Arabidopsis thaliana: one gene and its partner. The main gene of each other region encodes a partner of the protein of the gene in region 2 in a complex. Each region holds a gene or a part of one and is shown on either strand. Other genes may lie near its edges.

Region 1 (3,758 bases), on a different chromosome or scaffold from region 2:
AACTCTCCCTACAATTCCGTTACTTCCTACTCCCCCGACTCCTACTCTGCCACCGATTCCAACAATTCCGACTCTTCCACCTCTTCCGGTTCTTCCACCTGTCCCTATCGTGAATCCGCCTTCACTACCGCCACCACCACCTTCTTTCCCTGTTCCGCTCCCTCCGGTCCCTGGACTCCCTGGCATCCCTCCGGTCCCTCTTATCCCTGGAATCCCTCCGGCCCCTCTCATCCCGGGAATCCCTCCTCTTTCACCTTCCTTTTCTAGTCACCATCAACCCTAAATTAGCAATCCTTTCCTTACATTTCCAATTATGTAATCTATATGTATCATCCGCTTTAAATTGTTACTTTTTTCCTCTGCATTTTCACTTGTTGGCTTGTTGTCATTTCAATAAATATTGTTTACTATGGAGTTTTTATCTTGCTGCTTTTGTTACATCAAAAGTCAATTTAAAAAACAAATGGCCCATTTTGACTTCATTAAGAGATTCGGAAACTTTTTGTAACTATCTAAAAGAATAAGTACCTTTTCGTAATTATCACATTTGTTTTTCTATGGGTGATTATATTCAGTTCCAGTGAGTGACTGGATCTTATAAAAAAAAACTCAAATTCAAAATTATCCGATCTGATTCTATGGCTGAGACATTCAAGATCCGAAAACTGGAGATCTCCGATAAGAGAAAAGGATTCATCGAGCTTCTAGGTCAACTAACCGTCACCGGATCAGTAACAGACGAAGAATTCGATCGGCGATTCGAAGAAATCAGATCGTATGGTGACGACCACGTGATCTGCGTGATCGAAGAAGAAACTTCGGGAAAAATCGCTGCTACGGGTAGTGTGATGATAGAGAAGAAGTTTCTGAGGAATTGCGGTAAAGCTGGGCACATTGAAGACGTTGTTGTGGATTCAAGGTTTCGCGGGAAACAGCTGGGGAAGAAAGTTGTTGAGTTTCTTATGGATCATTGCAAATCAATGGGTTGCTATAAGGTGATTCTAGATTGTAGTGTGGAGAACAAAGTGTTCTATGAGAAATGTGGGATGAGTAATAAATCGATTCAAATGTCTAAGTACTTCGATTAAACGTTCATCATGATGATGATGATGATCTTTTGTTTTCTTGTTTTGAATTCGCCATTTTAATGATAGAAGTTTTTTCGAGTTTCGATGATTACACAGAGGACTAATGATAGACTAAACAACACAAAAGCTTTAGACTTTGAAAAGTTAATGATACCTATGATAAACAGATATATCTGGTGAATCCAAATCAAGACAAATCTCCACCGCTTGATTGCCAAAGATTGATGATGTCTGTAGCTTGGTTAAGGAGGAAGACACGATGAAGCTCAGAGATCCAAGGCTTGCTCTCTAACAAAGTTTTGAGCTCTTCCCAAGCATCTTTCCTAGGCCAGAAGTAGTATGGACTAAGTGGGATTGTTCCAAATCCTGGAATCATATGGTCTAATGCAACTCCTATGTCCTTTTGCATCCATACAAACTTCAGTACCACCTTTGGTTTCTCTAGCGGCTTCACTAACACACGCATCTTCTTCTGCAATATAAGATGACGATAACAAGGGAAGAATCATACATCTCTACTTCCTTTCACAAAAGTTTTCACAATGAAGCAACATAAGGGAGGTTTAACACTAGCACACACTGCCTCTTCTACCACAATTAAATAGATGGAGACAATACATTTGGTTTACCACATTTTCGTTCAAATGACAAAAAAAGGCTGCAACTTTGTCTAACAAGCTTATAACCCCAATTTGTTCCAAGAGAAGTTTTTTGACGATGACTGACCTTTCCAAGTGGCGGAGATTCAGATTCTGGTAGTTCATGAGAGAAGGTAAGATTGGAGGGGGGATATGCGAATATTCCGGGATTGATACAGGAGTGTCTCGCCGGAATTTGACCCTGATTCCAAGTAGAGCACGAAAGCGATGGTCGAGAAGAGGGTTTGAGCTTCGTCGATAGAGAGATATGAGCTATGGGTTTCGAAGAGAGCTTCTGAGAAGGTGAAGCTGTTCTGAACCCAAAAGAAGCACTCTGATTTGCTTGAACCGCCATTTCAGCTGCGTTTGAAGCTTCTAAGCGAGCAATTTTATTTTGAGAGACCGGGGAAAGCAAAAACACAGGTTTTGCGATTTTCTGGTCGGGTCGGGTCGGATCGAATCAAACGGGTTTTGTAATTTGAAGTGTCAAATAATAATTAGATTTAATATTTTATGTTCATCCATTTCTGTGGCTCCAACTTATACAATTTGACGATAATATGAGTTAGATTCAATATTTTCATGACATTTGTTTTCAAGTTTCTTCTTGCAAATAGATCGAAAGTAAGATTAAAGACAAGGGAATAGTAGCACATTTGCATATTCAAAAATCCAAACAAACCCTGCAATAGTAGTAGCAGTGAACCTTTTTTGGCTTTTACAAAACATCAGTCTTTTTTAACTTCCTCAAAGCTAAGCAAGCATGTCATAATCATCCAATGTGTCATTGTACTCAAGAACCTTTCGTTTAATCTTGGATGAATCAACCCAAGTGATGAAATCTTCCATGTTCCGAGTTACTAAGAAAGCTGGATCAGTAATTGTTTCTGGTCCTACACGAACGTGTCCTTGCTCTATGTATGTCACAGCTTCTTTGTGGTGCTCTGCAAACTTCAGGTGAACCAGCACAGTAGATAGCCTACGCCTGCAAATAAAAAAAAAGAACCGATATGAGGCAAACGAAATGAGAACATTTGGCTATCAAGGGTTTAAGTAACTGCCTATATAGGCTCTTGCATATACTCTTACCTACAGAAGGATGAAACTGATAACCGCTCAGTTAGAGTCAAGCTTTTCCTAGTCGGTATAACACCCATGTTATATCTGCCGTTTCAAGCGTACATGTAAGAAACACAAGTCAGTCAGCCATTAAGAGAACAAGTTTTCTCATTGCAGAGTGGAACTACGCAATCAACAAGTTTCAGTAGGATGGCTCTTTTTCCCTATACAATAAGCCTATATTATATAGTAACTTAGCTCTATGTAGAAGCTATTCAAGAAACAGATTCTGAAAGAAACCCATTAGATCACACATTTTACCAGGATGAATTCAACCTCTAATGGATTTCAAACCAACGGTCCTAAAATCTATATAGAAGCATAAGGACCCCCAATTTTAATTATCTCTAAAAGTGGTTAACAAGAAAAACAACAGGAGGTCTCTAAGATAAGATCGGTGTAAAAAACTGCAGAAAATGATCAAGTCTCATGTTCTACGACCTAAATCTAGAGAAAACAAAGAACCATTGCTTGTAATAAGCTCTATACTTGAACAAACTGGTATATATATTTAAAAAACTCACAGCTTCTCCAAAAGCATATCAGTCATCTGAATACGAAAAGGATCTGCTGGATCCATTTGTTTCATTATATTCGTCAGTTTCTGCACCATCCTACACAATCCTGAATACCTGCCCAAAAGAAAAAACATTCTCAAGAATCAGAAAAAGACCATTGTTCATCACAAAACACTCGAACCAGAAGAAGAAGAATAAGTAGAACAGAGCTTTAAGAGCAAATAAAGGTACCAACTTTTTGTAATCATCACGAGAGCCCATGTGGTATCGATACGTAATCTCGTTTTCCCGATGGTTACCTTCTCTTTTCCATTCTAAGAAATTTACTTTCTTTATAAGCTTCTTCTCGTGATACTTGAGCTTTCTCATCTCGGACGGTACTGATGATATGCAAA
Region 2 (3,063 bases):
TTCCAACTCTTTGGAAGTGCCTTTTCTTTTACTTTAGTTCCTTTAGTAAGATTATCCTTGTCTTTGTTTATGCCTCGGGTTGGAACAAATTACTATAATTCGTCCCCTCCTGCGGATTAGTCGACACTTTTCACAAATTTTACGAACGGAAGCCCTTATTTTCATAGTTGTTATTCCTTAATTCTGTGAATATATTTATTGGTGGACGAAAAAAAGGTTTCTTGATATTTTTGAATCTTGAATTGTATCTTCGTGAAAGGAATGGTTGAAATTGAAAAAACACTTACTCATTTGAATACTTATTATGGAGTCTAGAAAATGGCTGTCCCCTTATTAACTTATACTTAAGAACTTACTCAAAATTTTACCTTTTTATCCTATAGGTATACCTATACAAAAATATGTCGAATCCTTTCAGAAGCATGAACGAAAAAAAATCTTTAGTATCTAAACAAAATCGAACCATGCCGTTCGGAAGTGATTAAGAAAGAAAACTTTTATTAATTCATTTTTTCTTTAATTTCATTCGAAGTAAAACATCCGAAACTTTTTTGAACAGGGGTGGTATTACACAACCCCCTTTTTTCACAAATTGTAAGTTACAGATATCTAATTTTTATATTAGAAGGATTACCATATATAACACAAAATTTCTCCGCCGATTCTTTTTAGTCGAGCTTCTCGGTCTGTCATTATACCTTGAGAAGTCGAAAGGATTACAATTCCTATTCCGCCTAAAATTCGTGGAATTCGTTGAGAGTTAGAATAGATTCGTAGACCCGGTCGACTTATTCTCTTTAAATTTAAAATCGTTTTGTAGGATTCTTTCTTATTTCGTCTATGTCTTAGGGTTAAAATCAAAAAATATTGGTTGTTTTCGCGATGTTTCCTTACGTTTTCGATAAAACCCTCTCGTAAAAGGATTTTAACAATACTTTCCGTGATGTTAGTCGATCCTATCCGAACCGTTCCTTTTCTATTCATGTCAGCATTTCGTATAGAGGTTATTATATCAGCAATGGTGTCTTTCCCCATGATAAGTTAAAATTCCTTATTGTTCTATAATTTTGATATAATCAACATGTTCTTTTTCTTTTATTTATATATAGATATAGACGAATTATATATTAATATATGAATTAAATTCTTAATATTTTATTATTAAGGGTATATGCGTGATACAGAATCTATTAATTAATTTTATTTCAATACCTGTTTTTTTAATCCGATACTAACTATCGCTATCGATATTTAGATCTTATAATACCTCAGGAGCTAATGAAACTATTTTAGTAAAGTTTAATTGTCTCAATTCCCGTGGGATCGCCCCAAAAACTCGAGTTCCTTTTGGATTTCCTTCTTGATCAATGACAACTGCGGCATTGTCATCATATCGTATTATCGTCCCATTGTTACGTTTGAGTTCTTTACAAGTACGTACAATTACAGCTCTAATCACTTCTGATCTTTCTAGAGGAGTATTTGGTATTGCTTCTTTGATTACAGCAACAATAACGTCACCAATATGAGCATATCGGCGATTACTAGCTCCTATTATTCGAATACACATCAATTCTCTAGCCCCGCTGTTGTCTGCTACATTCAAATAGGTTTGTGGTTGAATCATATCATTTTTTTTGTATCTCTTCTTTTAATGCAAAGGACGAAGTAAAAAAATATTGTTTGTCAAAAAAAGAAAACTTATAATCTTTTTACCCTTAAATGTTATTTAGTTTTTTCATTATATATTCCTATTCAGAAATAATGAATTGGGTTTTTATAGGCATTTTTGATGCCGCTATTGAAATAGCTTTTCTTGCTATATTTTCGGGTACACCACCCATTTCATAAAGGATTTTACCTGGTTTAACCACAGCTACCCAATACTCAGGGGATCCTTTCCCAGAACCCATACGCGTTTCCGCAGGTCTTACTGTAACTGGTTTGTCTGGAAATATACGTACCCAAATTTTTCCACCACGTCGTACATTTCGTGTCATTGCGCGTCGCCCTGCTTCTATTTGTCTAGATGTGATCCAAGCGGGTTCAAGTGTTTGAAGAGCATATCTGCCAAAACAAATACGATTCCCACGAGAAGATATTCCTTTTAGTCTTCCTCGATGTTGTTTACGAAATCTGGTTCTTTTTGGGTTATAGTTGATGGTTCTAAATTAGAAATTCCATCTCTACTACAGAACTGAACGTGAGAGTTTCTTCTCATCCAGCTCCTCGCGAATAAAAGGACTAAAAAAGCTTGTATTAAGATATAGTTAATGATTAATTCTATTAATCATGATATTCAATTTCATCTGATCTCTTCTAAATTTGTGTATGTCTTTTTCGAAATGGAATCCAAGATTAATTCTATTTATTTAAAAATAACGTAACGTAATATCATCATCTCGAATGTCGTTTTTGTTAGAATATTCTAACAAATCCTTATTTTCTTTTATCTTTTTAATTTTTGTTTTTTATTACTTTTATTAAAAAAAAAGTATTCGCCGGCGAATATTTACTCTTTCAATATCTATATTAAGTTTGTTGTTTATCCCAGGAGATCTCTGAATAAAAATAAGAATAGATAATAATCTGGTTTATTCCGCCATCCTGTCCAATGAATTACTAAGATTTATTTTTCAATAGAATCCTCTATATTCATGGGTTCCGTCGTTCCCATCGCTTCTTGATTAATCATTAGGCCCGAATTCTACAATGGAGCTCTTATATGAAATCGGGAATTTCATTTTTTTTATTTGTTTTTGAGTCAATTTTCTTAGTTTTTATTGGCTCAAGGCTCTTAATTTTTTTTGTTTTCGGAACAGATTTATCTAATTATTCTGAATGAATCTGTATTGATGCTTTATTACATTGCTTTTCTTACAGTGACCTCATAGACTTTCCAAATTGGAATAATATATCATTAATATTCAATTTTTTCTCTCTTTCTTTCATCCTTCCACTGAATCCGCATACTTTTCGATTACCTTTCATAACTTATAATTATAGTTCTTTATTCTTTTTTTTTTTCAGTTGCTACAATAATATGATCAATCCATCATATCT

The links. Proteins that work in one complex are often made in the same cells at the same time.
Region 1: rps8 (region 2) and PSRP3/2 share a complex: the UniProt entries of both Arabidopsis thaliana proteins name them as parts of the 30S ribosomal subunit.

Annotation. Positions count from the first base shown.
Region 1 is NC_003076.8:5,141,423-5,145,180, reverse strand, and holds PSRP3/2 (Ribosomal protein PSRP-3/Ycf65), read right to left. Parts: upstream 2,192-3,758; 5' UTR 2,082-2,191; coding exon 1,815-2,081; intron 1,561-1,814; coding exon 1,276-1,560; 3' UTR 1,089-1,275; coding exon of another isoform or gene 639-1,088; 3' UTR 575-638; downstream 1-574. Other genes in the region: AT5G15780 (Pollen Ole e 1 allergen and extensin family protein), read left to right, coding at 1-283; GNA1 (glucose-6-phosphate acetyltransferase 1), read left to right, coding at 639-1,088; AT5G15750 (Alpha-L RNA-binding motif/Ribosomal protein S4 family protein), read right to left, coding at 2,480-2,711, 2,816-2,890, 3,370-3,477, 3,599-3,732. UniProt on the Arabidopsis thaliana protein: Component of the chloroplast ribosome (chloro-ribosome), a dedicated translation machinery responsible for the synthesis of chloroplast genome-encoded proteins, including proteins of the transcription and translation machinery and components of the photosynthetic apparatus.
Region 2 is NC_000932.1:79,438-82,500, forward strand, and holds rps8 (ribosomal protein S8), read right to left. Parts: upstream 1,036-3,063; coding exon 631-1,035; downstream 1-630. Other genes in the region: rpl36 (ribosomal protein L36), read right to left, coding at 52-165; rpl14 (ribosomal protein L14), read right to left, coding at 1,259-1,627. UniProt on the Arabidopsis thaliana protein: One of the primary rRNA binding proteins, it binds directly to 16S rRNA central domain where it helps coordinate assembly of the platform of the 30S subunit.